4 linked regions of the Alligator mississippiensis genome follow. The protein of the gene in region 2 purifies or fractionates together with the protein of the main gene of each other region. This does not show direct contact. Links are inferred from orthologs where the notes say so. Each region holds a gene or a part of one and is shown on either strand. Other genes may lie near its edges. The genes, in order: AKAP9, PRKACA, VAPA and AKAP11.

What was found.
Region 1: the proteins of PRKACA (region 2) and AKAP9 purify together in Homo sapiens (affinity purification with mass spectrometry; 7 studies listed by BioGRID and IntAct, with this or other methods). This does not show direct contact. The link is inferred for Alligator mississippiensis from reciprocal best matches to the Homo sapiens genes PRKACA and AKAP9.
Region 3: the proteins of PRKACA (region 2) and VAPA purify together in Homo sapiens (affinity purification with mass spectrometry; 4 studies listed by BioGRID and IntAct, with this or other methods). This does not show direct contact. The link is inferred for Alligator mississippiensis from reciprocal best matches to the Homo sapiens genes PRKACA and VAPA.
Region 4: the proteins of PRKACA (region 2) and AKAP11 purify together in Homo sapiens (affinity purification with mass spectrometry; 5 studies listed by BioGRID and IntAct, with this or other methods). This does not show direct contact. The link is inferred for Alligator mississippiensis from reciprocal best matches to the Homo sapiens genes PRKACA and AKAP11.

What each region holds. Positions count from the first base shown.
Region 1 is NC_081828.1:176,118,661-176,126,390, reverse strand, and holds the start of AKAP9 (A-kinase anchor protein 9), read left to right. Parts: upstream 1-4,414; 5' UTR 4,415-4,463; coding exon 4,464-4,557; intron 4,558-7,475; exon of another isoform or gene 7,476-7,684; intron 7,685-7,730. UniProt on the Homo sapiens protein: Scaffolding protein that assembles several protein kinases and phosphatases on the centrosome and Golgi apparatus. Required to maintain the integrity of the Golgi apparatus. Required for microtubule nucleation at the cis-side of the Golgi apparatus.
Region 2 is NC_081831.1:24,685,439-24,693,939, forward strand, and holds the start of PRKACA (cAMP-dependent protein kinase catalytic subunit alpha), read left to right. Parts: upstream 1-5,068; 5' UTR 5,069-5,129; coding exon 5,130-5,262; intron 5,263-8,501.
Region 3 is NC_081826.1:95,451,246-95,458,913, forward strand, and holds the start of VAPA (vesicle-associated membrane protein-associated protein A), read left to right. Parts: upstream 1-4,340; 5' UTR 4,341-4,577; coding exon 4,578-4,653; intron 4,654-7,668. UniProt on the Homo sapiens protein: Endoplasmic reticulum (ER)-anchored protein that mediates the formation of contact sites between the ER and endosomes via interaction with FFAT motif-containing proteins such as STARD3 or WDR44.
Region 4 is NC_081824.1:408,764,568-408,772,364, forward strand, and holds the start of AKAP11 (A-kinase anchor protein 11), read left to right. Parts: upstream 1-4,705; 5' UTR 4,706-4,780; exon of another isoform or gene 4,781-4,985; intron 4,986-7,797. UniProt on the Homo sapiens protein: Binds to type II regulatory subunits of protein kinase A and anchors/targets them.

The sequences.
Region 1 (7,730 bases), on a different chromosome or scaffold from region 2:
ACTGGTGATGTGTTGTTGGAAGTGGAAGCTAATGCTTTTAGATCCAGAAAATGCAAGCTTAATTCCTGCTGATAATGACTCAGCCAAAAGACAACCAGATCTCCTTCTAGTATGTTTAATTTTATAACCAATCCCTTCCATGCAAAATTACTAAAATAAAGTAAAAGGAGATATTCCAGGTGCAGCTTCTAAAGCTGGTATCATTCATTATTCCTGGGATCAATAGAAGAAACCAACTTGATTGCTATAGCTGCTGTTTCCCCTCCAAAACAGGCTCTTCAGGATGTAGAATAGGATGCATCAACCAGCCAATCCCCACGCTTAAAACTACCAAGCAGTGGTAAAGCAACATTACTCTGTTGGTACCCAGTTGTGCAGGCTTTATAATGTCAATCAGAAATAACTAATCAAACTATATCCATAAGTGTATACTTACACAAAGCAGTTTCATAAAAAACAGCTTCAGTGTTAATCCTTTGTTACATATTTTAGGATAATCAGTTCTCTCTCATAGTACCAAATGCTTGGTATGTTTTGTCAGAAAATAGATGAAGGGGCTATGAGAGCTGTTTAGGAGTGGGGAAGGAAGTTTTGTATGTAAAATAAAATTCAATTTTTTCATGAACTATAATTTTCCAGGTTTGTTTAATAAAGGAGATCCAGTTATAATACAACTAAATTGTTTGAGCTCAGCTGTTATTAATGATTCTTTATTTTTTATAATGCAGTAGCACCCAGATCAGAGCAGGCATTATTGTACTGTACAAACTAACAAAGACCCATTATCTGTCCTGAAGAGCTTGGGTCGTATAGCCCTGATCCTGATACTGCAGTCATACCCTTGCTTAACATGACACTAGTTGATATCAAAGGGATTATTCAGATGTCTAAACTAAGTATATGCCTCACAGTTTGTGCTATTGAGACTTAAATGCAAAAGCATGATACTAGAGTTCAAAGACGTGTTTCTACTTGGAAAATAAGCTCTAAACAGCTACTACCAAGTGGTCTTTTTATTGCTTATACTTTTTTTTTTTTTGTATTTTCTTTTTTCATTATTATCCACTTGTCAGAAATGACGGATACGGCCAAGGGAAAGGAAGCAGCATTCCTCCAAAGCGGCCAGGGATTTTTCATTTAAAAGCTTTGTGCTATTTAAAATGATGCCTGACCATAACTTTTCTGCCCACCGGTCAGGGTGAGCGAGAACGTGTGTTCAGATTGCCTGGACAGATGCAGGGTGGGGGAAAGTAGTCAAGAAAAAAAAATCAGGCTAATGAATGAAGTGAATATGCAACAGCTCTAGTAAGTCCATTCAGCCTAAATATATTGCTCTAAACCCACGTCCTCTAGTTTCATGCTGCCTCGCTTAGCAGCAATGTATCCCAAGAGTTGCTCTCTGATCAGCCCACCTTCCCTGTGCTCCGAGGGCAGGTCTGGGGACATGAAGCTCCCATCAAACAACTCCCCGAGTCAGGCGATGGCCAGGGGGCAAAGCAGCGCCTCCTTCCCCGGGATAGCGACTGTCCTTGTCCTGCCGCGGCTTCCCTCGGGTCCTGGCACACGTGCTTTCTGCTTCACTCGCCCGGCTGCGCCTCACTGCGGCCACGTGGAAAGCACAAACGCCCCAGGCTCGGTGTGCTGCCGGATCCCCACCCTCTGCGCTGTCTCTGGGGGCTAACCAGCCCACCATGCCTGTGCAGGGTGCTCCTCCTCGACGCAGGGTAAAGGTGAAAGCCAGAGGAAGAAGGAGTCAATTCTCATACAGAAGAAACCATCAGTTTCGAAAGGCTTGCATGTTATTCCGGTGCTGCCACCTAGCAGAGCTTCGTTCCCATTCAGATGTATTGGTTTTTTCAAACTAAGCCTCTGGACCAGGAGATGGCAGTGTAAGACAAACTGAAGTCATATTTTGGGAGCTGCAGTGCATTAAGCATATAACTGAATAGCACGCGTTCCCAACCTACTGTAATATTTAAGACTTCAAGGGGTAATAACTTTAAAGAGAAACTAAATTTAAACTGAATTTTTGGTGCACACCTATTTTTTTGACACGAAAAAAAAGCATGCGCTGCAGACCTGTACAAGGGAAGCTTAGTAGAATTTCTCTTCTAGTAGCAGCAGATTTACTTAACGATCAAGATTTGTAACTTGCAGGAGAGCTGTGTTGTTTTCTGACTGGTGACTGTTTTTAGGAGAACTTAATAAAGCAGGAGACAGTATTGGTAGCTCGTGGTGGTTGGTCTGTTACAAACACAGGATTTGTGTTGCAGTATTGTGTGTTATAATTAAGAGGCAAAAAAGTATCACTGACATAGGATACCACATTGATGCAGTTATGCATGACTAAAGATCAGTTTTTTCACAAGTGTTTTACCTGTCTTCCTTTAAAAGAAAATCTTTATTATTTGCATATCACTTTATCAGATGTAAACTGGATAATTTAATTACACGTTGTTCTTTTTTTTCTTCCCCCCCCCTTTTTTTGTTGCAGAAAGTAGACTTTACCTGCTGCTTACCCACAAAATATGTTCAAAATTGATCTGAGGATCAGATTTCTGTCTTGGAAAACAAAGACCTGACTCTAGTCCTTGGTTACTGAATTGGAAGTCTTTATTTCACAGATAAAGAATACAAGTATTAGCAACAACAAATAAAAATTCCCTACCCACCATCCCATAGTTTCAAAATCAAACCTGTTTTGGTTAACAGCGATTCACAGCTCTGTTGTATGCAAAGACTCCATCCATCTACGTAAGTTTGACATTGGTCCAGAACGCTCTTGTAGAGAATATGGGATGGAGAAGTAAGCCACTAGCATTCTGACCAGTGGTGACAGGTCTCTAAAATGTTTGTCAATAAGGTCTTGGGTAGCATGAAACAAGGAGCAGAGATGCTGGTATTGCCATCCATGTAGCTCCATCAAATTGCCTTTGTCTACGAAGTCATGAAGTAAATTAGTAAAAAAAAAAAACAATGTGTCTAGTGTTGTCATCATCATATTCACAATGGGGCCCAAGTATTTTCTTAAATCAGAGATTCAGAAAAGGCAAGGATTTTTTTTTCTTGATTGATTTTCATTTTATTGTAAAGAAAGCTTTACCTACCTTTACTGGACTAAAAGGATTAACAATGCATTAGGGTAAATCTTGTCCCTAGTGCTCAGTCCGACAACAGAACTCAGGGGTGGAGTAGCTTCAGTGGCTAGATCTGAACAGTATCTGATGCATATGCACAGTAATGGGTCCATTCCCTTAACTAACCTACCTACCTCTTTTCCTACCCATCCCTATATAGCTGTCTGGCACTGGCTTTGGGGAGCCTCTGTGATGATTCATAGGGTGTAGGAATGTGCACTTTCTTTACAAATTCTGCATACACATATACACATTGCCTGATGCTGACCCATTCAAGTTCTGCTTCACTTGAAACCCACTGTACCTGAGGAGGTGGGGAAAAATTAGCCACTAAGTACCCAGGCTAAGCCTCAGGTTCTTAACTGGATTTACAAGTTCTTCTGGGACCAATAGAGCATGGCATGTCAAGCCTTATCCTTTAAATAAAGGTAATAATACTAAAATGCATGGATTTTAGTGTGATGTAATGCTTTAGGACTAATTCTCATTATGAAAGTAATTAACTTCTACAAGATATTTTGGGACATCTTAAGACTTAAATAACTTGGGCTTATTAGCAACTGCAAAATTCAGTAAAAGAATCTCCATTCTAGGCACACGTTTTTCCAGATTTCTCAGTTGTGGCATCCTTTCTGATCCCTGGAGTTCCTCTTTACACATTCAAATGTAGAAATTCTAATCTACTGTGAAATATAATCTGCAGATATCTGAAGGGAGGCAGTGGGAACTGGTTGGTACCTACTCTGGTAAACTAATTTCATTCCCCAAACCTACGGAAAACACATGGACATTGCCTTAAAGGTTATAAGAACTTTCATATTATTCATCAAAGTTTCATATTCTATTTAAAATTAATAAAAATAAATAAAATTAATAATTACATACATACAAAAGATAGGAGGAAAATAATATTGCTTTTTCAGAAATCAAGTACGTACAACAAGCATAAATGAATAGTATTCTAAAAACTTAAAGGAAACTGGGACAATTATGCATAACTCAGAGTAAAATATAAGTTTCCTGTAATATCTCTGAATACGTCAAATGATTTGCTATAGAAATTGATCTTCAGCACTTAGCTGAATTAGCAAATGTCAATCAGGTGCTCTAGAGATAATTAATTAATTACTTGTATTCCTTTCAGGCTTGCTTAAATTACCTTGCCTAATATATTATGCCTCCAGAATAAATTATTCATCTCACTAAACTTGTTCAGCTGCAGACCTTATGCCTCTTTTCAACTACAGTATTTATAGTAAAGCAACAACCAGCTCATACCAACAATATTTGCCACTATAATTGAAGGATAAGATATAATAATGAAAAATGTCCAAAAAAAGATATGTGGCGCTTACAATCTGTCAAACTATAAGCTGCACAACTCCAGGATTCAGAATACAAAGACACTCCTCTTCAGGGGGTATGTATTATTGCAGTTTTACAAGAGGTCTGTGCTTCTCTAATTGTATGAGTTAGTGATTCTTTTAATCCCTTTTAAACTAAAGAGAAACATGGTGGGTGTTCAGAAAATGTGAAAAGCATTTATTTTAAGTTCACACATGCACCTTTAAGGTTTGTGAATGAGTATGCTTGTATATATGTATTGAATGAATGCATGCATAGAATGGGGGGGGGGGGGCGGCACATGTTCAGATGCAGACTGCAACAGTCTATAAAAACATTCAATAAAACTTATCTTGATTTACAGAACACTGTGAATATTTAATAACAATAATAAATAAAAAGAGTCATATGCAGGAAGGAGTAGTATAGTGCTTTTGTTGGATATAGCTTGTAAGAATGGTGTTAATTTACAACTAATGTAGAAGCATCAACACACTTTTGTGACTTCCCAAAAATTAAAATGTTATGTTTCCTTCCTTCCAGTCCAAACTGTTTCATAGGCTTAGATTGTTAATTGACTAAACAAAATATGTAAACAGATAAAAATAAAAATGTGGTTAGGAGACCTTGATCAACCACTATATTAATCACAAGCCACAATGTATGTTTTTAAACAAACCTTGTCATCTTATTCAAGGGGGGTAGAATGCTCAGTTTTCGCTCTTCAAACTATCTCATGTCCTAGCCACTCGGCTTCCCTAGCAGACTTTAACAATCAAGCCTCTAGTATTAATCCTGTCAGAAATTGTACTTCAATAAAAATTTGGAGGAAGAGAGTATGTGCAGAAGAAATGTTTATCATTTTAAATAGAATATTCTATGGTCAATAAGTCAAATACTGCCTGAGATTTCAAAGGCCTTGCACCTATGTACACCAGGACTGAATTTGGCCTTATTAATCTATCTAGCAGTTATCTTATTAGGCTTCTGAAATAACAAACTTTACACATATTACTTAAAATGCTTCCCTACTGCAACCATGGTGACAGTAGCCCACAGCATTCTGGGATCAGTATATACATCAGTGCAAAGTAATGCTCTGCTGAGCTGTGGAGCAGATAGTAAGGGACTGAAAGGGGTGAGGAAACAGAACTGGTGTAGCAGACTGGCAAGGGATGAGGTAAGGTATTTGTCAAGTTAACCTCTTATTCCGTGTTTATTCTCATGCCAAAATGGAAATCATTTTTATAGTTACTGCAACAATCTAATGCTGGGTGTCTATCCTGCTCACTGAATTTCACTGTAAAACCTCCACTAGTTTTTCAACAGAAGCAGGCCTTGATCAAATAGTGTTTTAGGGATAGTCTGTTCTCAAATATCTTATTTTTATATGATATCATTCACAATTCTGTTCAGTCTATTCTTTTAGGTGTAGGCTTTGTACAGCACATCTCAGTGTAACAATAGAAGGGTGGGACTGCATCCATCAGAGGCAGGGAGCTAGCATGCTGCTAACTGACTGATACATTCATTTATATGTGTACACTCACATTTTTCAGCGCAAACCTAAAATAGGAGAGTTGTCATATTGGATGGCAGGAAAACGTTCTGATTTGCAGGGGGGGCATAGTCTTACAAGGCAGTCGGTTCTGAAACAGTCGTGTAGTTCATTTAGGATCTTTTTCCTTCAATATTTTATTTACTATACAACCCATGTATAGTTGGATTCACAAACTATAGCCTGGTATTAAGCTATCTGTCTCTGGTAAGTCATCACAGTATCTCGGCATTTAGCTTTAGGCTTCAGTGACAAATGTATCTGTTTAGTTCAGGGGTTAGCAATTGATGGCCCCTGGACCCAATACAGCCCATAAAGAGACTGTATCTAGCCAATAAAGCTGGGATAGTGGTAGGAGGAATTGGCAGCATTCAGCAGTAGAATAATTGGTCGCACACGACAGCAGCTAGATCCAAAAAACACCTTTTGACTAAGCTCTGTTAATTCAACCAGACACTGCTAAAAGGCTGACCTCTGATCTAGTTCCTTGAAATTCTAGAACTTCTGCGATTCATTCGTGCAACTGAGCAAGGATACACTCCACAATTGTAACTTTCCACCTGAAGTCCTTTCAGACTCTGACTACAGCAGGCTGTAGCAGAGGTGAGATCATCCTATTTTCCTTTGGTTTCTAGCTGGCAAGTAAAACTTCATCTCCACCCTCTGGCATTCCAATTTTTTAAGGTGTACCAGGGAAAACTTCACAAACCAGCAAATAGAAGGCAGGCTGGAGGCAATGAGGAGGGAGAGATCAATTGTTAGGCAAAGTTGTGTGTCCTGATGTCCATAAGGAAAGAGATTAATGCTGTTGCTTTGCACAGAACCCCTTAAGGATAGTCAGCTTTGATAGTCAAAGTTAGTTTTAATGATGTTTATAATAACTGTTGCTTTGTTTTTAAAAATAAATAAATGATTGAAGTGCTGATTTACATTTACTTACGTTGGTCAGGGAATCTCGGATCTAGATTTTAAAATTTGTTTTTATGCTAAAAGTTTAAAGCAATTTACTCATTTGTCTACGGCGTGTACTCAAGAAAGACTAGTAAATGAACCAGGATTATTAAATATTGATGAACTGAGGGTTGACCCTTAATCAAGCAGTGTCTTAAATTAGCCAGTACTGATCGTCTTTCATCTGGGAATAAAAATATTTCTACAGATCAAACTTTAAGTGGCTAAATGGCTAACTGAGTTGTAAACCTACAGACCAGCTGACTTAGTATGAAGTTATATGAATTTCCACTCTATAATTAAAGCAAGAGATGCGCTCTTCTGTTCCTATAAAATTGCAAAGGTTCTCTTCCCATCCCCATACACACACTACTGTATTAGCATTAACTTGCAAGATTTAGGAGGGAAAATTGAATGATTAAGTGTTATCTCTTTAAAAGGAGGGCAGCACACCTCTTATTGAACCAACTGCATGGTTAGGATAGATTGTAGACTTGGGTATCACAGTACCCTTCCTAGGGTGTCTAGAAGAGAAGCAGGCACTGCAGTTAAATAGCAGATGGAACAGGACAGTAAATAGCAGTGTAAAACAGGACACAATGGAAAATGTAAGGTAGCTAACAAAAAAAGAGATGTTAAGAACCTGATGAGTGGATGAACAGCATTGTTCAGGAGGGTCATTATCACCTGTGAAGTAAGTGAGATTAGTGAATATCAAACAGGTTATAATGGATTATAAA
Region 2 (8,501 bases):
GTGCAGGTGTTTTAGGGTTAGTGGGGCTGGAGACACTGGGCTGGATTGGGCCAGTATAAACTGGTATACACACCACAATGGGGAGACCCAGTAGCTTCTCCCCCCTTTCATTAAGGCTTATCTTAAATTTAGGGCTGTTAATTCAGGGCCTTCTGCCACCCTGGTCAGTTTCCCTCGGTGGGAGGACCTGTCTCTGCAGAGCCCCTAGGGCTGGTGTTGGGGACCCAGGTGTCCCCCTTGTTTCTGGAAACTGAGGCAGGGAGGTTTCTGCAAAGCCCTGCAGCTGCCAGGGCCCCAATGATGGTGTCACAACCCCTCCCCTCCCCCCAGCCGTATTCTCCAGGCCAGGGCCAAGCACTTCCCAAGCCAACAGCAAGTACGAGCCTGAAGGGGGCGCCCCCAGCTCACAGATGTCTCTAACCCACCCATCTGGAAGTACTGGGCACCCACTCCAGCCCACACTCCTCTCCATGCCTCCTCCCACTCATTAATGTAGCCTGCCCTTCTGTGGCCCTCATCCCTGTGATCTAGGGCCCCTGGTGGGGATGGGCAGGATCTGTGGCATCTGTTGGGAAAGAGAACCCAGGCATCCTTACTGCCTTCCCTCCCCTAAGCTGATCACCTACATTTCCCCCATAGGGGAAGCTAGAACCCGGATGTCCTGACTTGCACACCCTGGCTCTAACCATTACACCCAGAGCTGAGGTAGAACCAGGTGTCCTGGTTCTCATCACCTCTTCTAACCCACCATCCTCCACTGCCCTCCTACTGCTGGGCGGAGAACCTAGGCCTCCTGGCTCCACCCCCACCCCAACTCCTGGTTCCCTCCAATCACAGCCAGGCAGCTGCATTTGTGGGGGGGGGAGTGAGCACAGGGAGGATCATGGGAAACAGGAAGTTGGATGCTTGGCTCCTTTGTGGTTTAACCCTTTCTTGGCTGCAAGGACTAGATCAAAGGGGGACATGGAGGCCCTGGAGCCATGGGTTGGGCAGTGGTCAGGCTTAGTAGCTGATGCCTGCCTTATTCTAGCCCTGCTGAATAGACACTGGTGAGACCTGCCAGACAGAAGTATGTTGGGACAGGAAGTGGGGCTGCCTGTGTCCCAGGCTCATCTTTGGCTGTGGCAGGCCCAGGAGATCATGGGAAAGCTGCAGCTTGTTTCCCCTTTAAACCCACCTTCAGTTCAGTATGAGGGGGAATAAAAAGCATGGATGCCAGATCTCACACTGTCTCTTTAAGGGGCCTGGGGGCAGCTGTTTATTACTGGATCCTATCCATAAAATGCACTGATTGGTCACTGCCCCCTGATGAGGGGGATGGGGGTGGGGGGGAGGCTTCAGATCACCTGGGTTCTGGGGTCTTGGCACTTGTCCCCTGCAGTCTGCCTCCCAATCTGGTCCCCCTCAGTGCAGGCCCGGGGAGTGCTGCCCCAACCTCCCTGGTTCCTTCTTGCCCCTGTGGGTATCAGAGCCCAGTACCACCTGTCCTTCCACCCCCCACTCGGCACCTCTATCTGCTGGAGGGCTGTGCCTGGCTCGGCTGACCCCTCTGAGGTTTTGTACAGAGGCGCAGGGGGAGAACTGTGACTTGGGAATAACCCCTCTAGAGATCCATAGTTTGGCCCTCAGACGGGGATCACACCACCACCGTGCCTCCTGCTTGGCCTGTCTACATCTTTCCAGAGGGGTCAAATCAGGAGCTTCCCTCCCTACCTGTCGGCCAAAATCCAGATCCCTGGAGGGGTTGTGCCTGGGAGCTCCCATCCCTGCCTGCAGGCTGATCTATGGCATCTCGGAGGTGTCAGGCAGGATGGGTTCCTATTCCCACCTGCTGGCTAACCTATGGCTCCCCAGAAGGGGCAAACCAGGAGCTTCTATTCATAGCTGTTGGCCAAGCTACAGCTCCCTGGAGGGGTCATATCCAGGGGTTTCCATCACTGGCCAGTCTACGGCTCCCCAGAAGGCTCATGCTTAGGGGTTCCTGCTACCCACTGGCCAATCTGTGGTGCCCCGGAGGGGACAAATTGGGTTTCCATTCCTAGCTGTTGGCCGTGCTACAGCATCCAGGAGGGGTCGCACCCAGAGGCTCGCTTGGCACATCTACAGCTCCCCAGAGGGGTCAGATCAGGGGCTTCTCTCCCTGCCTATTGACCAAACTCAGGCTCCCCAGAGGAGCATTCCCAGGAGGCCTCTGTCCCTCCAACCCCTGTACGGCACCCTGGAGGGCTCAACCCAGCCCAGCCCTCCAGCAGCAGTAGGCTTTTGGGCCCAAATAGATTGACCCCACCAGGGCACCGTAGGCCGAGCCCCAGGGCAGCAGAAAGTGGCAAGATGGAGGCAGGCGGTGAGTGGGGGCGGAAGGGATGGGGGTCCTCCAGGGGACTCCTGGGTCCCAGAGGCCCCACCCCAGCCCCAAACAGGTTTAATTTACCGACCTCCCCCAGCAGTGGTCGTCATGGGAATGTGTGGGTGGGAGGAGCCTCCTGAAGGGGGTTGGGCTGGATACATTGTTGAGGTGATGTGGTTAATGATGGAGGTCTTGGTGTCGCTGTGTGGGGTGGGAGGCAGGGACCTCATCTGCTAGTGAGAAACTAAGGCAGGTGTGGGTGTAATGAGGCAGTTTAGCGTGGAGCAGTGATAGGCTGTTACCCTCCCTTCCAGGTGCGGGGGTCATGATGGACCTGGCATTAAGCCTGTGGGCTGGGCCCCCCAAGGGGGCTGGAAACCCCTGATTGACTCCCATCTGGCCTTGGAGGCTGAGAAGAGGCCTGGGCAGCTAGGTGTGATCGGAGACCCACAGTCAGGGTCTGTTTTGTTTTTTTACCAGGCTTCTAGGCTCTTCTGGCAGCCATGTGGGGCCAGGAAGGAATTCTTCCCCACCCCTGCTGCTTATAGGGGTTTAGGTGTTTCTCTCTTCCTTCAACAGTGTCAAGTGCTGTCTGTAGCCCAGGATGGGGGTGAACTCAGACCCAGAGGGCCTTGGTTACATCTTGTTGCAGCTCAGGCTCAGCCTGTCACTACATTGGGGTCAGGAAGGAATATTCCCCCCTGCTCAAACAGGCATGGACTGGGGGGTTCCCCTTCTGCTGCAGTCCCGCCCTCTGCTTGGGGTTTCTGGAGTGCATTGAACCCCTCTGACAGCCTCCAGACTCTTGCCAGCCCTTGGCTCCATGAGGTTGGCCAGGCTAGGGGTGCCCATCTACCCTGGACCTCTGGATTCCCTCCTGGGCCCTGGGAGCCGCTGGGGGTCTGGTGGTGCTTGGGGAGGGTGAAGGTTCTGATAGGGGAGGGGCAGTGTGGTGGGTGGGTCCATCAGGACTCCTGGGTTCCTTCCCTCTCTCCCTTTGAGACTTGCAGACTTCTGCCTGGCTTTGCCCTTCCCCACCACTGGAGCTGGGGGCACTGGTAGGGTAGAGGAGGGGGTCATTCTAGCTTGTGCCAGCTCCCAAAAGGTTAACACCTCAGCAGGCGCTGATGCCTTTAAGGGCACCTGGCGCTGTGCCTGCCCTCCTCCCCAGGCTGGTCCCTGGGGTCCCTCCCTGCAACAATACCCAGCGGTTGGCACCGCCCCAGCCTGCTTGGCCACAGGATCTGCTGCCAGGGGAGGGGTCTGGCAACAGGGGAGGGTGCTGTGATCTGTGCTGGGGGGTGGTGGAGCTGAGCCTTGGAGTGGGGGGGCACCATGGAGGCAGCCCCTGGCAAGGTCTCGCAGGCAGGCACCAGTACCGACAGTGACTTCCAGTTCTGGCTGCAGGTCGTTCTGTGGCTGCACTTGCTGGGGCGGCTGCTAGGCCACATCCTCCATGGCTCCTGCAGGGGACAGAAGCGCTAACAGCCCCTACCCGCACCCACCACCCCCCAGCTTGTGCAGGGGGACCCTGATTGCAGCCACTGGGGCCTCGAGGCTCCCCCACTGCTGCCTCCTGGCACGGAAAGGCCTCTGCTCCCGCCTGCCCTGGCTTCCACTCTCCAAGGTCAAGGAGCCTCCATGCTTCCCCCACCATGCCCCACCCCAGAGCTGGGTGCAGCCTGAGTGTGGGCAGCTCTTCACGGACCTGCTGCCCCTTTCTCTGCTGCTGGTGATTGGATTGAGCTGATCAGGAACCCCCCTACTTCTTCCCCTTGGCTTGCAACCCTAGTAGCTGCCTCCAGAGGGCACTGGGCCTGCAGGTGGGAGGGGTCTCACTGTGGGGGCTGTCCCCTCCCTGCCCCCCCTCCCCCACCCAGGGCTCCCCTGCCCCCTCCAGCTGGAGCGACTATTTGATGCCTGTGACTATTTCATGCCTGTGACGTGTCTGCTCCATGGAAGTCAAAGGAGGAGCCTCTAGCCCTGAACCTGACAGGACCCTCAAACAGCAGCTGATCCTGGACCTGGGGGGACCCCTGGAGTGGGGAGCAGCCGTGAACCCCAGCCCTCAACCTGACTGTGATCCTGACTGGAGGCCAGCAGCCCTTGATCAGCAGAAATTGATCGACTCCCAGGAAACTGACCAGACCCCAGTCCAAGGCAACCTAACTGACCTGAAACTGACCAGCCCCAGGGGGGGCAGCTGGGAGACTGACTGGACTCCAGCCCTGGACCCAGGGGACACCCCCCCCCCCCCCCAGGCTGGAAAGGAGCCAGCAGCATGAAACTGACCGAACCCTCAAGCAGCAGCTGATCCTGAAACTGACCAGACTCCAGCGGCTGTGAAACTGACTGGACTCCCCCAAGCAGATCGTGAACCTGACCAGACCCCAGCCAAGGGCAGCTGTTGAATTTGACCCCAAAACTGCCCAAATCCTGATCAAGGCAGCTCTGAGGCTGACCAGACCAGAGACCCCAGCAGTGAAACTCGCCAGCCATCCTGTGACTGACATCTTGGTGCCAAGATCTCTGCACCCAGAAGCCAGGCTTAAGGGCCCTGTGCCAGGCCAGGCCCCCAACTCCAGTGAAGCCAGGCCGGATGGACCCTGGTGTAGCTGCCAGCTGAGCCCCCAATCCTTTGTGTCAAGGTGTGTGGGGGGGGAGGGGGCAGTCCAGGAATGGCTGCGGCTACCAACATTTCAGTGGCCATTGATCCAGCATGAGCCACGGGCCAGAGGTAGCTGGCCCCAGCCCCACCCCCAGCAAGGCCAAGGGGGGCAAGATGTCGGCACTGCAGAGGCTGGAGAGCCTGGCCGGGCGCATCTTCTCCTGGGGTCCACGGGGGGACCCTGGGGATCCTGAAAGCACAGGGAGGGTTCCTGAGACAGAGCATGCAGCCGCCTGGAACCAGCAGAGTGAGTGGGGCTTGTGGATGGGGCAGATGGGGGGACAGTGGGGGGTAAATCAGAATGATGGAGGAGGGGTCAGGGGGATGACCCTCTCCTGCCATGTTGTTGCCCCATCAGCTTGGACCCATCAAGAGCATCATCACCAGTGCCCCCCCACTTGCTGCACATAGTGGGAAACTGAGGCAGGCTGCTGGCAAACGGGCCCAGAGTGGGGTTGGGGAACACAGGAGTCCTGGCTGTCAGCTGGGCTGGCTGGGCTGATGTGTTAGAGGTAAAGATGGGACCTGGGAGCCAGGATACCTGGGTTTTCTCCCTGGCAGTTAAAGGGACTGGGGGGTTAGTGGTTAGAGCAAGAGAGGGGGCTGGGAGGCCAGACACCTGGGCTTTCTCCCAGTTGCCGGGAGATCAATGAGATCTAGTTTAGGGCAATCGGGATGGAAGCCCCGACACCTGAGTTCTCTTCCAGCTCTGGGGGAGGGGAGGTGGGAAGGGGAGTGCAGGGGCACTGGATACTCAAGGCTGTGACAGTGGCCCCTGACATGGGCACCCAGGCAAAAATAGCAGTGCCAGGCACCTGCCAGTGTTGTGCAGGCCCTTTTAAACCCCCTGCCTGCCCTTCCCTCCCACCCCCCCAAGCCATAGGGGGCTTTGGGTGGGAAGGAGAGTTTTGGTGGCTTTGGAACCCATCCAGGCTGGGAGCTGGGATGCCTGGCTTCTCTTCCCAGCTGGTGAAGTGAGTGGGGTTGGGATAGTGGATAGAGCAGGGGGAGGTTGGGAGCCCAGACCCCTGGGTTCTCTTGGCTGTGGGAGGGTTGTCTGGGTACTTTGGAATGGGGGTGGCTCCCGCCTCATCGCCCATTGAACAGGTCCCTCTGGCTGTGGCTTATCGATTGGGGGAGAGGGGGGCTGCTTCTTTCCAGGCCCAAGGCCATGGTGTCTGTCCTTCACTGTCCATGGCTGGGGCTGGCATAGGGAATGGAAACTCGGGGATGGGGGGGAGGTGGATCCTGCCAGGCTAAGGCCTGGGACTGGGCAGATCCGGATCTGCTTCTCCCCCAGCACCAGCTGCATTTGGTGCTAGTCCAGCATCTGTTACTGTTGGCTAGTTCTCCCTTGCCCTGCTGCCCCCAGAATCAGTCTCTCTTCAGTCCCCAGTGAGCCATAGCTTCTCCAGGGTTTGTTGCTATCAGCCATTCAGCACTGCCCTTCACCCCACAGCCAGCTTCATGTGGCAGTGAGCAAGCACCAGGTCCCTAAGCCACGTTGCTGGTGGCTGTTCCTCCTGCCCTGCTCCCCCCCAGAACCAGCTTCATCTCAGCCCTGAGTGAGTGATTGGTTCTCTGGGCACTAGTACTGTTTACCCTTCACCCCCTCCCTTGTTTCCTTCCAAAACCAGCTGCATTTTGGCTGTGAGCAAGGATGGGTCTTCAGGTTGCCAGACTCTTGCTGCTTCTTCCCCAGAGCCAGCTGCATTTCAGCCCCAAGCAAGCTATGGCTTGTCCAAGGCATGTTGTTGGCCAGTCACCTCCTTCCCCTGTTTCCACCTCAGAACCAGCTTCATTTGGCTGTGAACAGGTGGCTATCTCTCTGGGTCGTGTTGCTATTAGCCATTTACCTCCTTCCCCAGAACCAGCTGCATTTTGGTGCTAGCTGAGTGGTTGTGTCTGTGGGTCCCCTTGCTGCTGGATGGTTCCCCCCTGCCCTGTATCGTCTCAGAACCAGCTGCATTTCAGCTCCCGGCAGGTCGCAGGTCGTGTTGCTCTTGGCCTTTCATCCTATGATGCTGCTCCATCTTGGAACTAGCTGCATCTTAATGCTATTCTGCTCCAGTGCTGGTTCTCCAGGTCATGTTGCTGTTGGCAGTTCATCCTCTGCCCTGTTTCCCCCCAGCACCAGCTGTATTTTTGTGCCATTGGAGCAGTCTTTCACTGGGTGAACTGGTTGCTTGCTCTTTGTTGCTGCCCTGTTCCTCCTCGCCCCCCCCCCCCCCCCCCAGCACCAGCTGCATTTTGGTGCCATTCCAGTGATGGTTCACCAGGTCATGTTGCTGTTGGCTGATGCCCCCCTTCTCCCAATACCCACCCCCCAGAAGGAGCTGTGTTTTGGCACCAAGCAAATGGCTGGCTTTCTCTATGGCTTGCATTGCTATTGGCCCCATTTGCCCCCCAAACCAGCTGCATCTGGGGGTGTGGTGTGGTGGGGGCAGTAACCTGACTGCTATCCCAGGGGTGGCTGCACTGATCCCTATGTTGGGGGGGACAGGTGTGGTCTTCAGAAGGCTTGGGTGAGGGGGTGGTTTTGGCGCTGCCTGGCTCTCTTGGAGCTGATTGTGGGGAACCACCACTGAGTCTAGCTGGTGTGGGGTGGGAGGGGGAATAGCATGGGGCCATTGGGGGTGATAATAGGTACTTCAAGCTGGTCCCTCTTGGAGGGTGGGGGGGCAGGCTGTCTGATTGCCTTGAACCTAGCCCCTATCACACACCAACCCTCCCAGAGGTGGGAACCTGAACTCCTGGGCTCATTCTTTGGTTTGTTGTCCTGATCGATTGGGCAGGTGGCAGGCCTGGAGACCTGGGTTCTGTCCCTAGCACTGGGAGGGGCCCTACTGGGTAATGATTGAAGCAGGGTAGGGCTGGGAACCTGGACACCTGGGTTTCCTGCCCATCTCTGGGAGCAGGCCCTGAGGTCGAGAGGGGAGGCGGTTGAGGTAGGAACCCAGGTATCTGGGCTCCCACCTCTGGGAGGGATGGCATAGAGAAGGGAGGGGTTTTGGAGCCCGGACACCTGGATTCTCTCCCCTTCTCAGGTAAAGCAGGCAGGTCCACTACCAGCAATACCCAGGAGTATAGGGGGGCGGGGATCCCCAGGGGACAATTGGCAGCTGCAGGGTTTCTAGTCTCACCCCCTCCCCACCCCAGGCTGGCTCAGGGCCCTGTGGCTTTTGGGAGGGCAGGGTGGTGGAGGATGTTTGCTGTCCCTGCTGGGAGCAAAGTCTTCATCCAGCCCCTGCCAGATCCCAACATCCTCTGGGGCATCCCCCCGCCCCCCAATTCCCCCAGGGCCCAGGATGCCGGGGTCCCTGGCATGGATGGTAAGGGGAGGCGGGTGTTGTGGGGGTGGTCACTGTATTTGATCCAGGCTTCTGTTGTCACAGGCCCTGGCTGATGTCACATGTTGACGCCAGGCCCTGTCAGTCCTTCCTGCCCCAGTTGCTGCTGCAGCCTGGGGCTCAGTCAGGGACCCCC
Region 3 (7,668 bases), on a different chromosome or scaffold from region 2:
TTTACTGGACCATCGTAACTACAACCCTCCAAACCTACTATAAGGTGCTGAAAGGTATAAATACATGTAAAGTGCTAAGGATGTGCCTTTATTGGAAAATTTAACTTGGGTCTTGTTCCTTTTGGTCTTCCTGGTGCTCAGAGGTGTGTTGAATTTGCTGCTTCCATCCTTCCAGTCCTCTCAATCAGCATTGGCCACTTTGTGGGCCTTTCTAGCAGAGCAGGTTTTGTTTAATATTCTTGTGCTGTTTCAAGCCACTCAAGTGAGGCAATTGTAGTAACATTGTTTCCTTGTTATCTAGTATCTCCTGATAGCACAGTGGAAGAATGGATTGGATTTCACTAGCAATTCAAGTCTTATCAAAAGGATATATAGGATCAAGACAATAAACCTGAAAAGTATGTAAGAGGTGATGTTGTCTTGAGCTGAAGACTATGTCTCTTGAGTTTAACCTACTTGATTTACCACTGTCCAGATAAAGAGTAAGGAACCAAATGTCATAATCTCATAAAGTGATTTCCTGCTTTCTGGGTTTAAGAGACATTCCATTAAATGATTTTCCCAGTTTTATTCCCATAGAACTGAAGTCAGATTAATTATCATTTGGCAAGAGGCCCTTTTGGTCAGCCTATTGTTTAAGGTGTTACTGAAACCTATTATCACAACCTTAAATTAGCAACCCAAATGAGTCATCCAGGAAACTCCATCCAGCTGACTTTTCCCTCAGGAAGTAGAAATAAAGGGGTCTAAAATGTCATTTCTTATTGGAGACAAAGGAAAAAAAGATGAATAAATGTCACACCTTATGTCACTCAATTACTAACCCATGATTCACACTTTCAGAACGCACGATCTGAGAGTTCTTAAGAAAAGTTAAATAGTTTGCTCAGTTCTAAAAAACTGACACAGTAAAAATGGAATTTGGGGTTCCCAATTTTTTTAGCATCACAGAAACATCCACATCAAGTCTGTTAGTATTACAAGCAAAATTATATTTATTCTAAATACCTTGGAAACTCAGCGTGAAATGTAAGAATCCCAAGCATCCCTAGAATAGATATTTAGCCATTTGAAGGTCATTAAAAACTAATTTCTACATTGCTAACAGAAGTAAAAATACAACTGAAATTAATTTTTGCCATTAATAATAACATTAAAATTAAATAGAATTAAAATCTGATGGTATTGTGCTAATCACTATTAATTTATGGAAAATGGGTTTTGGCAGACAAACTATTACTGTTTTGTGTGAATCAAAGTTTGACTACTGAAGGTTACTCTGTTGGTCTTATGTACTTACCCTAATAGAGGACATTTGATTTAGTGCCATAGGATGATTAAGGAATACCACAAAAACATGGGGTTCTGAAGGGACCTGTTTTTGGTCTAATGCTTTTCAATACCTTTATGAATGATCTGGAAGAAAATATGAAATCATCCCTGGTAAAAGGTACAGAGGACACAAAAATTGCTGATTTAATTGAGAGTGATGAAGTCAAAATTTTATGTGTATTTTTAATGGTTGTCTATAAAACAAGAATAACTACAGAATATTCTTTATGTATTTCTTCGTGACGTTCCAATGCATCAAAGCAAAATTTAAAGAAATCTTTAAGTTCTCACTTATTCATAATTTATGTGTTGCATGTTGAAACCTAACAGATTCTCACTGGTATCACCTGCACAGTAACTCTATAAATAATTAACTCTTAGCTGTCAAAGGACTTCATCAGTGATACCATAGATGTTTATTTTTTCTGAGTGGAAAGGGAATAAATAGAATAGTCTCTCAGATAAAACACAAGAACGCTAAGCTAGTATATGACTGCTCAGATACAAACATAGATCATACCTGCAGTACACTGGATTTGTAAGGTTACTACAGAAATCCGATTTCTTTGCCTTGTGGGATATTAACTAAATTTTAAAATGATTAATCTCTAATCTTCCAGATCTACATAAAATGAACCAGAAACTTTTACTCTAATTAGCCAGACACACCTGTCAGAAGCAGCTTTTTTTGTAGATCTGTCTGCTACCCCAGCAAAACAGTAATAGATAATTTTTGATGACTTATAACATACGGAGGCTGGGGTGTTAGTAGTGACAACTTTTTAGATTCTTACCCTGCATATGTGCACATGCTTACGTTAATGTGTGTGTCAGTTCCTGTTTTTTCGGTGGATGTAAAGTTAAGATAGATAAAAGTCTGCAGGATCAGGGCTGTAGACAACATAACTTTTATTGATTATACCGATTACTATATTTAGTCAAAACCAAAAGTGAGGTTTTTAAGACGAGGTCCCACCCCCCACCAACATGGGGGAAAAAGCTTTGTCATAGATTCAAGTAACATCTTGGGGCAGGGGGCTGGTGTGGCCCTGGCTCTGGTGCAGAAGCGGGAGCCACAGCAGCTGCCTGCCCCACACTGGGGTGACTTATGCGGGGAGAAGGCATGTGATGGAGGACGCACAAGGGAAATTACACAGTGGGGGAGGTATGGGGAAGACCATGCAGTGCGGGGTGGGGTGTGTGGGGGAGACCCACAGCATACAGCTTGTGGGGAAGTGAGGGAGAAACAGCCTGACCACCCGCCATTGACTTTCCACCCTGCCACTTATCTGTGGCTGGGGGGGGGCGGGGGCGGGGAGGGAAGGGGCAGGCAGCAGGGACATGGAGCCATAGGTGATGGGAGAAAATATTAATTGAGGGGTTGGGTAAAGCTTAAAAGATGCTTTACTGTGCTGCTTTGGGGGGCGGGGGTCAGTGTAGGGTGGGGTGTAGGGGGGTGGTGCAGGGCAGTGTGGGGCACGCCTGCCTGACTCCTGCCCCTCTCTCACGCAGGGCTATTGCAGGGCCACCACATGCTAGTGTTGTATGTGGCGGTGGAGGAGCATGTGGTGGGGGTGCAGGGTGTGGCGCTGCAGCAGCAGGGTGTGGCAGTGGTGCTGGAGCAGTGAAGCCACGCGGCGCTGAGAATGCTTGGGACGCTGGCCTGGCTGCCCACCAAGCAGCACCGGGCACTGTGGGATGGCAGCACTGTGGTGCTGCTGCTTGTTGAGCAATATATATATAACTGTGTTTAATGGATATTTTTGTAGTCAATAAAGCTTCTGACTGATTATCAGATGAGTGCTGGTGGTTAATCGCATAGTTCTCCTTGTCCACAGAGAAGTAGAGCTTGAGTTACAGCCCAACACTGCCGTCACTGGCCGCCACAAAATTAGTTTGGAGGGGCTAAGCCCCATTAATCCTCGACTTCTGCTGCCGATGCATGGGGCAGCAGTTTGGAGAGACAGACAACTTTCTTTGGTTAATTTTAAAGCTCCCACCCACTAATTTAATTTTATGACCCCTTTGTGGGCGAGACAGGCCTGTCACCAGGTCTGAGGAGGAATGACTGGCGTACGTGACAGCGGGGAAGGGTTTTACATGCAAAACCCTCCACCAGCCCTTAACTGCAGCCAGTGCTGGGAAACATTATGCTGTGAAGAATGAAAAGGAAGAAAGGCTGGCTCTTGCTTTTTGAGTCTCATACAAGAGCTTTTGGCCAGGGTGGCTTTGGAGAGGCCTCCCCGTCTGCATTCATCTCCACGTTCTGCTCCAGCTCCTTTAGCAGGTTACAGGTGACCCCAGCCTGAGGCCCTTGGGACAGGTCCCTCCAGGCCCTGCAGCAAGGCAGTGCCCTCTCCCCAGGCAGAGGGATGTAGGCTATGTGGAGGGCTGCCTGTGGTGGGTGTTGTGATGCACTCCCCGCCTGGAGGCAGCAGCACATGGGCCTTCAGAGCCAGCAGCTTGGAAGGGGGTGTATAGGGTGGGGCAAATCCACAGGGGCTGCTGTGTACTGTTGGGCCCTCACCACAGGGCTGAGACGTGCCCCTCACCCCTGGGGCTCCATCAGCCCCTGCTCAGGGCCAGGATTAGCCTGGCTGCTCAGTGGCGCCAGTGGTAACAGCTTTGCTCACGGTACAGACCCTGGAAGGACTACGAATCCCAGCATGCACCGCGCCCCCCGGTCCGGCGGCGGCACATTGCATGCTGGGGCTCGCAGTCCTTGGAGGGTGCGGCAGCCTACGCCTTGAAGGTCGCGCATGCGCAGTTCTTTCCTTAGTTTTCCCTTGCGAGTTTCGCTCTTTTCCAGCTCGCGCGCCCCCTGCCGCTTCGGCGGAGGCAGCACGAGACCCAATCGAGTGCGCTGTCAAACGCCAAACACGGGTCGGGGGAGAGCGCGCACGCGTGCTCGTTGGTGCATGCGCAGCGTGTCCCCCTTCCACCCCCACCGCGGTGAGGCTGGCGCGGGTTCGCAGTACGCGGGCCGTTGAGTCAGTTCCGACAGGAAAGGGCGGGGGGAGCGGAGAGGAGCGGAGCGTGCGCAGGCGCACGGAGCGGGGACGAGGCGGCGTTGGCGGCGGCTTGGCTCGGCCCGGCTCCGTGGCCCCAGCGTCAGCGCCACTGCCCTCTTCCTCCTTCTACCTCCTCCCCCCGCAGCTGCTGCCGCCGCCGCGCCACCCCTCCCCTACTGTCGCCAACTGCCGCCGCAGTGAGGGCGCGAGGCCACGAGCGAGGCAGCGCGCGCGATGGCGGCCGCGGCGGCCCTGGCAAAGCACGAGCAAATCCTGGTGCTCGATCCGCCCACCGACCTCAAATTCAAAGGTGCGGCCGGGGTCGGGGCGGCGGTGGCGACTGCGGCGGGGTGGGGGAAGGGCCGCGGCCCAGCCCGGCGCGGGCGCAGAGCGGGACGCGGCCCCGCCGCCATCTTGCGGGGCCGCCAGCGCTACTTAGGCCCGGCCCAGCCCCGCCAGGTCCCTGGGGCGGGGCGGGGCGGGGCGGGCTCCCCTGGCGCCTCTGGGCCCTGCCTCCGCCGCAGCGAGCGGTCGAGGCTGAGGCTGGAGGATCGCCCTGGGCGGCGATGAGTTGGGGGCAGTTCCCTTGAGGCGCCGGGGGGGAGGTGCTGCCACGTCGAGGGCAGAGTCTGGGATGAAAACTTCTTTCCCCCGAGCAGTCCGCTGCACGCATGCCCCCTCCCGCCCACGCCAAGAGCCCTTTGGGAATATTTTGGGCAGTGTCATTTTGGAAAGTTGCCCCTTTGCAGCCCCAAAAGGGCGGGAGGAACTGGGCGTCCATCTGGTGACAACATTGCCTTTGAGATCTCGCAAGTGAATTGGCTCAGAAATGCCGACTGGCTGCTCTGTAGCGCAGCTGCACCGTCTCCTGGATTCCTGGGTGCTGGGTTTACCCGAGAAGGGCAGGGTGAGAAAGGGCGGGTGTATGCTAAAGCAAAGTAAAGCAGAGGTCACGGCGTTGTAGCGTAGGCCTGTCCATGCAGAATATCCTCCCGAGTTGAAAGGAAGCAGCATTAATGGATGAGAAACAGATGCGGGGGGGTTTAAGACTTGCTGTCCTTGACTTATTGGGCGGCCAGGTACGCATGAAGCCTAGGAGCAAGCTAATTAATACTCTCAGCATGAACCACTAGAGCAGCAGAAGTACGAATTGTAAGTGGAAGCTATTTTTTTTTCCATTTAGAAGTCTTGGGAAGGCTTTCGTGGAAGGCCACGTGTGAAAGCACGCGCATGCTCTGAAGCACAGCAGTGTGCAGTCATTTAGATGTGTAGCGGAAAATCAGTACATCAGTTCACGTAGACCTGTGTGCTGTTCCAACATGCTGCTATCCCAGCACATACCTGTCTGATTTCATTGCTCAGTGTGCATACTGAAAACAACTCTTTCTTTCCTAATGAACTAACATTGACTGTAAGGTGTTGGCAGAGTGAAGCTCTAAATCATGTGGTCTCAGATTGGAAAGAGGCATTGTCCTGTAAAATGTGTGCTGGTTCAAATCTAATGTGTCAAAAAGTTGGGTAACTTTGGTAAACTCTTGTTTTTGTGATTATAACTGATTTGCCTAGATTTTTCCAGTGGCTCACTCAGCAAAGTACTATCGCATTACTAATGGCATTCCAGAAAATACTAATGTCAAACAGAAATCCACTTACGAGTTTTATAGAGACAAAGTACCTTTGACCACTGACAAATAGCTTGAATCATACTCAACTCTTGGTCCCTTTTTTTTCCCCCAGACTTAGTAAAATTTGGTTCAGAAGGGTCTAAAAGCATCCCATTATCATTGCTGTGTTTTGGGAATGATTCCCATGAATAAGATTAAAATCCATTGTTTCTAGTATCTGTAGTCATTACAGGTGTCTGACTTAAAACCCCCGTGCTTGAATGGCATAAAACCAGTTCTCTTTCTTCATATAGTCAGTCATAGCCAATTCTGTGAGTTTGTAAAATTAATCAGGTTCGTCTGTTCATTATGTGATGGTTTTTCCCTTCCAAATGTTTTACAAAATGATTTTAATTATTTTTTCTTTAAACTTAATGGTAAAAACCAGATACAAAGGTGAAATGAATTCCTGATCGTCTCAGTGTATCACTGGCAGAGCTGAGAACTTTAAATTTGTCTCTCTTGCAGCCTGGTCTAGTGTGTGTGTTTGTTTCTTAATTTGTGAACCATGCTAGTGCCTTTAATGAGCCATTTCCCTTATTTTACACTAAAGTATTTAGTATACAAATTGAGATTTGGGAAAGTATAACTAGAGGATTACAGTAGATTTTGAAATGCATTATTTGCTTTAAAAACTTTTAGATTGGAAAGTGGAACATCTGTTATCTTTAATATAGGTTATTTTCACCTGAACTATGTGATAAAAATACATTTATCTGGAGTTCTGGTTCTGTGAAACCCATTTGAAGAAGCTGTAATTTTAACTCCATGAATCTCTTGAGGGTAAAAATATATATTCCATTTTTCTAAAAAAAGTCACCTGCTTAAATATTGGTACTACAAGTTTCTTTTTAAATCTCTCTAGTGCTATCTTAGGATCTCAACGTGTTACTCTTTAGAGTGATAAAGACTTGTTTTGAATACACCTATATTCAGAAGTTGGAAAAAAGAATGGATATCTTGTATTTAAGTTACTTTTTTGGGTGGCAGACCTTTTTTTTTATCTGTAAGCTCCAGCTAAACCTTGCAATGAGGTGTGTTTTTACCTCTACTGTCAAAATTATTTCAAAATATAGTGTTCATCACTGACAAGTCAGTTGTTTTGTCAATATTTATTAGAAACATTTATGGCCTGTTTCAGTTTGCCTTCACATTCTGTTTAACGTAACCTGTTGAATATTCAACATATTTAATTTTGAGGGTTTTTAAGCATTAGCAAGTATCTTCTCTTCTGTCAAGACTATTCCATTTTTGTAGAGGAAGTAAATTAAAAAGTAACTTAAGATGTAAATGTTTAGGATGTTAAAAATTTATTTGATGGATTAAGTTAGTTTGTTTTTTTCAGTTTGGAAATTGAAGCGAGATTAGCTAATTTATGTACTCTTTGGGTTGCAAATCCTGCAGAGAAAAATATGAATGCAAATGCACTGTTTTGTTTGGAATTAAAAAAATATGGAAATATATGTTTATAGTATGATTAAATTCGGGGATTAATTGACATGATGGTGACTCTCTAAAGTATTAGCAAGTGGTATTTTACTTATGATCATAGTTCCAGTAATTTACCGGCTCTTGAAAAGGAGCAATTTCAGATTTTAAAAAGTTCTCCTTTGCGTAAGGATTAGTCTCATGAAATATTCTTTATTGACATCCCTGTTACA
Region 4 (7,797 bases), on a different chromosome or scaffold from region 2:
ACAAACTTGAGAGAGAACAGCCACGGCTGTTTACTTGATTGGGACTCTGCCTGGGAACTGGCCTAGGCATTTTGGTCCAAGGACTCTGCCAGCTATATTGCTATTGAGTAATAAATGGTGGGTGTGGGGGTGTGTGTGTATAGGCAAAAGTTGAATAAGAGTCCAGGGTAATTGAACAGGCAAGATGCAACTCATTAAATAACCCCATCAGACCACTTGGGACCTTAAGCCAGTATGTAAGCCACAGTAATCCGAACTAGCTGCCTACAAACTCCAGGGCAGGGCTGAACATGGACTGTGGAACTAGGGGCTGGGCCATGTGTGGTCCATTGGGGCAGGTGTTGTTCATAGTTGTGGTGGAGTACATGTGCGTCAGCTGTGGCTGGGCCCCATGGTTCATGTAAATGGGTAGTAAGCAGTCTGTCGCTTGTGAAGATGGGTTATATCCATCGGTGGATCTACAATTTTAAAAAGGAGGGTGTATGTGGTGTGGTCCCTTTATTATATACAACCAGCACTTATTTTTCTTCAGATTAATAGAAATGAGAAACTTTACCCTAATATGCTAAGGGCCTAGAGCTATATTATTCAGTTAAGATCAAAGCAAATACAAATATAACTCTACTGGAACATGCGTTCATTTGCTATAGCATACAACATGTATTTAAAAAAAATGTAACTAAGAAGAATAATTAAAACATGTTGCTCCTCTAAGCCTGTAGTTCTTAGAACTGAATGTACATCTAAAACATAACAAATGCCATTAACTGGTAAGACCATAGGTCCGTGTTGCCCAGTCTCCCAGTGTCACACAGGCAGAGAGTGGAGGCTGAAAGAGAGTAGGCTGGGTATGACCAAGGCTCCCCACCCCCACCGTTGTTCTTCTCTAATTTGCAGCCTTCAACATTTAAGGTATAGTAAGTTCTAATTTGTCATATTGAATGAAATAGTTTGAATGTTTGTAATGGTTGCCCATTAGCCAGTTTCAGGAAGAAGATAAGATTTATCTCCTTATCTAGGTCATTGTTTTGGACTACATGTGGAAGATCCAGACTTTGCTTAAAGTTTTAACTCTTGAATTTTATCTTTACAAGTCTTTAACAAAGAGAACCTGAAAATTGACCCTTAAGCAAATATCCTGAGTTCCGAGAGATCAAACCCTAGAGCCTTTTGACCAGATTGGTAAGAAAAGGTCACTTGCAGTGATATGGAAGTTCCCCAAAAGTAATTAAAATGATCAACAAAAGAAATTAATTACTAAGCAAAAGAATCTGTTGAGTAAGATCCGAGCCCGAATTTGGGGGTAATGACAGGTTTGAATAGGAGGAGCCCAAGACGGTAACTCACTCAATAAAAACTGTAAATTACTCTCCCAAATTGGAGGTCACTATACTTGTAGAACAACGAAGGAAGAATCGCAAGTGTAGGCCGGATCAGACTGATCACCTGAACCACCCTCTCCGTGAACATGAATCTCTTAGTTCACGCTGAAGCCGCAGAGCACCTGAAAGGGACTGAAGGAAGGGGACTTAGTCCTATCACTGCTGAGGCCAGCCCATTGAATCGTATTGCTGAGGAATGAAACCATATTTAGGTGTTTGGCTTCTTGGAATTCTAGGATTGTAAGTATATTATGAAAAATAATAGTATTGATTCAAATTTAACTTTTAATTGTAATTGTAGTTGTTTTTGTAATACTAATTCTTATAGCATTGTTTGGGAAGGCAGTGCATTCGGAGCATTGTTTCTGATATATGTAATTATTGTGTTCTTAATGTTTGTGGTATTTCTTAAAGCTAAGCAGTGTTATATGCGTAGCAAAGAATTTAAAAATAAAATTGTGTTGTATGAATTAAGTGTGTAATCATTGTGAAATCGTGCAATCAACTAACTACTCCCCCAGCCAGTGCATCAAAACGAATCAGTAAATTGTGTGGGATTTTCTCTATTCCATAACCCACTAGAGACATAATTCAGAGGCTGTATCCTTAACTCCTGTCCTCAATAGCTACCGATGCCCGTTTCCTCCAAGGATTTGTTCAATCCTCTTTTTGAATCTGGCTAAACAGTCAGCTTCCACAACATCTGCTAGCAATGAGTTCCACACTTTAATTGCACCTTGTGTGAGACAGAACTTCTTTTTGGTTAATTTTCAGCTTACTCCCTACTTGTTTTATGATCATGTTATGATTTTTTTCCCCAGATTCCTAAAATGCAACCTAGCTTTCTTGAGCATCTTGAACCAGGCATCCAGTGCTTCATGGAAAGTTATAGCCACACCTCAGTTACTGTTTTTTACTAGAGTTAAAAATGGTGTAATAGTATCTGCACTGAGAGAAGCAATGATCAGACAGCCCAGTGGCAGACTGAGTGACCGCCTTTTCCAAATTGGAAGGTGGAAAACATGCCCTCAACCCTGTCCCCTGCCCCTGCTGGAGGCATGGCTGGACTAGAGGTGAGCGGGGCAGGGGTGGGCTGCCCGCTGTGGCCTTGGGGCTCCCAAGCCTTCTACCCTTTCCCTAGGAGCCCTGCACTGGCCATACATCCCCTGCCCACCTAGCAGCAATGGGAGGAACAACTGCATACTATTGCCACCCTGGTTGCTGCCATGGTGTCATGGGGCTCCCAGGGGAAGGGCAGCAGGGGGGAGCCCTGAACCTGCTGTGGGCAGCATCTGCCCCATGCACAAATCTGGGAGGTATATCCCCACACCATGCTCCCCTCAAGGAATGCATACCCTCCCCCATTCCCCCTGGATGAGCCGCCTGTGGCTCTGCTCCAGCCCAGGGGCCCCATGCACCACCCTGGCTGGGCAGTGTCCCAAGCCCCACTCTCTCCCTCACCATGGGCGCCTCGATCTGCCGCCCCCCAATCCCATATACTTACCTGCAGAGAGTTGCTCCTCACACTGGCTGGCTGTTTCCTGTCCATGTGCAGGTGTGCGTGGCGCCCCCTGCACCCTGTTCCCAGCAGCCCCTTGCAAGCTGGAACACTGCCAAGCTGCAAGGAGAAACCTGGATCCCGAGACACTGCTGCAAATCTGGGACAAACAGCGACTTGGAGTCGTGCAGCCTGGGGCCGGGACTATGATGATCCCATTCTGGGACTGTCCTGCCCAATTAGGGGACGGGTGGTCACCCTAGTGGCAGAAGCAGCAGCTTGATTACCGAGACATCAAGAGCATTAAAAAATAAGACAGAGGGTAGTTAATGCATCTAGAAGGCAGAGTCGAAGGAATCAGGTGTATTATAATGAGCCATAAAGTCAGGTGACTCCCCCTCAGCTGCTGCCTGCTGCCAATGTCACAGACAGACAAAGGTTTTTGGGTAGATGTAGTATCTTTTATTAGATCAACTAAGTTGGAAAAAACATTCTTTGCAAGCTTCTGGGCATAAAGAAAGATATTTGTTCCCAATAACTCTGCAGAAAAGGACCTGGGGGTTACAGTGGACAATAAGCTGAATAGGAGCCAGCAGTGTGCCCCTGTTGCCAAGAAGGCTAATGGCTTGTATTGGTAAGAGTTGCTAGCAGGTCAAAGGGAAGTGATTATTCCCCTCTATTCAGCACGGGTGAGGCCACATCTGGAGTACTGTGTTAGGTTTGAGCCCCTCACTACAGAAAGAATGTGGACAAATTGGGGAGTCCAGTGGAGGACAACAACAATGGTGATGGGGACTGGAGCATGTGACTTCTGAGGAGAGGCTGAGGGAACTGGGCTTATTTAGTCTGGAGAAGACTTGAAGTGGGATTTAATTGCAGCCTTCAGCTACCTGAAGGGAGGTTTGAAAGAGGATGGCAGGAGACTGTTCTCAGTGGTGACAGATAACAGAACAAGGAGCAATGGTCTCAAGTTGCAGGAATGGAAGTTTGGGTTAGATATGAGGAAGAATTTTCTCACTAGAAGGGTAGTAAAACACTGGAACAGGTTACCCAGAGAGGTGGGGGAAACTCCATTTATTGGAGGTATTTAAGAGCTGGCTAGACAAAGCTTTGGCTGGGACGATCTAGTTGGGGATGGTCCTGCTTTGAGCAGGGGGATGCACGAGACCTCTTGAGGTCCCTTCCAGCCCTAAATTTGTATGATAACTTGCAAAGAATAATTTCCCCAACTATTTAGTTGGTCTAATACAGCAATTCCCAAACTCTGACTGGTTGCACACCACCAGTTTAAAATGATGCAATCTTAAGTACCACCAGCAAACTGTTGTCATATAAAATAATTATAACAAATCTGTTAAGCGGGATAGGTTGTCTGCGTACCAGTGGTGGTACCCCTACCACAGACTGGTCTCAAAAGATCACATCCAGCCAAAGGCCCTTGTCCGTCCATGTCCTTTACCCCAACACGCCTGCCGCTCTCCGCAGCTTGGTTTTTAGCACTGGGTGGAGCACGAATCAAACAGGGTGCCATAGCATCTCTCCCCCCGCACTCCGGCAATCAGACCTTCGCTGGGGCAAGGACCTGCCCCCCGGGGCAGGGGGCGGGCCCTGGGCACGTGGCGCAGCGGCGGGGGGAGGGGCGGGCGCAGGGTGTCCTGGGGTGCTGGAGGCCCTCGCGTTACGTCACCCGCAGGGGGCGGGCCGCTGCCCCATCTCGCGGTGGATCCCTCCGGGCTTCGCCCCGCCCCACCATTCTCCAGCCAATAGGCGGCAAGGGAAACGAGCACGTGGTCCTCCCCGGGGCTGTACGCCCGGCCAAACCTCGCGAGAGGCGGGGCGGCGGCGGTGACGACGGGACTAGACAGGACATGGCTGCGGGCGGCCGAGGCTGAGGAGCCAGGTAGGGGCGGGGCCCGCGCCCCTTCCTGTGCGCCTGGTCTGTGACCCGGGGGGGGCGGCGGCCGAGAGCCGCATTGTCCTCCCCCCACCTCGCTCCCGGCCCCGGCGGCGCTGGGGCTCTTGGACCTACCCCCGGCCCCGGTTTTCCAAGCGTCCCCCTGCGCGGTGTCCTGCAGCCGGAGCATCGACCTCGCACGTGGATGGAGGTACCGCTGGGTCCGAGCCCTCTCTTTTTTGTTGTTGCCCCGAGTCATATTTTGCAGCAAAAACTGAAAATAAAAGAGACGTCTCTTTGAAACTTGTCTCAAGCAAATCGTTGGGGTGGCAGGGACAGGACGTTGCTATTTTCTTTCTCTGTGGGTTCAGACCCAGTTGGAAGGTGACCTCATTTCTTCCCAGCACTGAGCAGATTGTAGCCGATCCTGAACGAGGCGCGGGAACCTGGTGAGAAGCATGGGTGGGCTATAGGGCTGGAGGGATCCAGCTTTTAACCCGGCTTGTTCCAGCCCTACGCCCTGCCCTTGTTTCTCGCCAGGTTCCCGAGCCCAGTGTAGGATCGGCTGCAACCTGCTCAGTGCTGGGGGGAAATGGGGTCAGCTTCCCACTGGGTCCGACCCCTCAGAGGAAGAAGACAGGTGTCATCCGGTGCCCCAATGATTAGCTTGAGACATTGCCACTCTTTAAAGTTTCAAAACGGTGTCTTGTTTTGTTTTTGTTTTCTGTGGAAAATGTTACTCCAGGCAAAAGAAAAAAGGGTTTAGACTAAGTGATACCTTTGTCCGTGTGCAATTATTATGCTTTTGTTTCAGGGATGCCAAGCGCATGTTTTCCATGTTGTGTTCACCTGTGCAGTTGGCATCCTTTAGTCGAAGGAGAAAAGGCATGGACTGTTTCTGTTCTGCTGTGATCATGTTTTCAAGGCCTCTGAGAATTTGAGATGATAAATCTGCCGTGTTTCTGAGCATGTTCGTAGCATCATAGAGGAGTCAGGCTGGGAGGGATCTCCAGAGATTATGTCGCCCAACCCCCAGCCTGAAGCAGGATCATCCCCATATGCTTTATCTTAAGCAAACATTTGATAACTCTGCAATCGGTTAGAAAGTGTGTTTTTTATTATGGTTGAGGGAAAAGTAAGAATTAAGTGAAGAGAAACTGGAAAAAATGGTAGAAATCAGATATTTTGTGTGGTTTTATGTCTTTCTGTACTAGTTCTGTAACATAATTTGGGTAACGAATATTTGTTCGTATGGTTCACCATCAAAAAGTAAATAAAAATAGCCATGTTAATTTTGACTTGGTTGCTATCAGCAACCGAGGACTTGGCATTTGCCATAATCAAAAAAAGCTTGCTTTTAACATTTGAATAAGGTATAAGCCAAGTAACTAATTTATTTTTATTTCTCTATCAGGTAATTATATAGCTAGAACACCTCCTAAAAAACCTTTATCTATTGCAGTAAAGCGTGAAGAAGTAGCTAGCAGTTCTAGGGGAAACTGTTATGAAATAAAGTCTTGCTAACTTTTTAAATGGCAGAATGGTGTGACGTACAGGTTATACACTAAAGATGTGTAAGTGTTAAGGGATTTAATTCAATGTTTTAATTTGCTGTTGGTGTTTTTTTCTAAGGTATTTGTTTGTTCTTTCTGTAGCCGTATTGACATTTGGTCAATTGCACATTGAGAAAATCTTTTTTGTTTTTGTATAAAATAAAGGCTGCAATTCAGTGTTTTTGACAACTCCATGACGATACATCAGTGAATAAAAGATAAACTTTTTCCTGTTTGCTTGGGTTTTTTTGTTAGCAGTTTGGAGAGAAGAATCTTTGAACTTAAATCTTCCAGCAGGTCTAGGCATAATGACATCTGCAAAAATAACTCCTTCTTTAAACATGCAACACGAGCATATATTTTTACAAGGTTCATTGTAAAGTATTTCAAAAGGTGAAGTTACTGAATCTACAATTACAAATAATGGTATAATGGCTATCTACTGTTCAGTGGGGGAAAAATTTCTCTTGGTATCAATTTTGTCATGGGGAAAATAATGTATCCTTTTAAAACTGAGGTATACAATAAATGTCATTTATTCAAGCACACCTATTCCTCTGACAATTTATAGTCAAGACAAATGCCTCCATTTGGCATAAGTAAAAAAAAAACAAACTGATTTTCATTCCAGAATGGACTTTTCAAATAGCAAAATGGCTATTTCTATTATGGCAAAAAAAGGGATGAAGGAGTGGTGGTAGGGGGCTATGCTCAGTACCAGGTCACCCAAGGCTGAACATTGGTGGCATGGAGCAGGGTGGCAATCCTGTCATCCCTTTCTCCTCCTCCTGCTGCAGGGCCAAGAGCTGCAGGTTTAATCCTCTGTCACCTGCTGCCAAACTGGCATTAGTTTTTGGCCAAGGAGCTGGGGGAAGGAGAGTAGAGTTGATTGAACTACTGGAGCATTCAGCCCTGGGTAAGCCTGTGCTGTGGCAGATAAGACTAGAAAAATCTCTCTCCCTTCCTTCTGCCACCCTGAAACAAGCTATGTGTCTTATTTGTGGATGTGCGGTATGTGAATAACACATCAAACCTCTGCTGTGGTGATGTGCTTTCCCACACTTCACCATGTTTCTGGTTACTATGGAGGCAACTTATAGGTCAGGGGGGAAGGGTGTGAAAACAATTTTTCAAGGCTCTTAACTGTGTTGGCCATGATGATTGATTTAAAAGTCACATGAAACATTGAAGAAAACATTAAAACCTGGGGACAGAGAGCCCACTGAATTATCTAGTCCACTCTATTGCCAGAATAGGATCATTAAGAACACAGGTTCTTAATGATATCCATTTTTGCTAAGATTGCAGAAGAGTTTGAATGATCTCTCTACATAACTTTTTTGACAGGTGGAGAATCTGAATGAAGATTTTCCATGATTGGTCTTTCCCTGAAATTTACTTTTAGGCAGCTTCTTCAGTTGTTTTGGCAATGAATGACCAGGCAGACAGTTTAATTATTGAAACAAAATC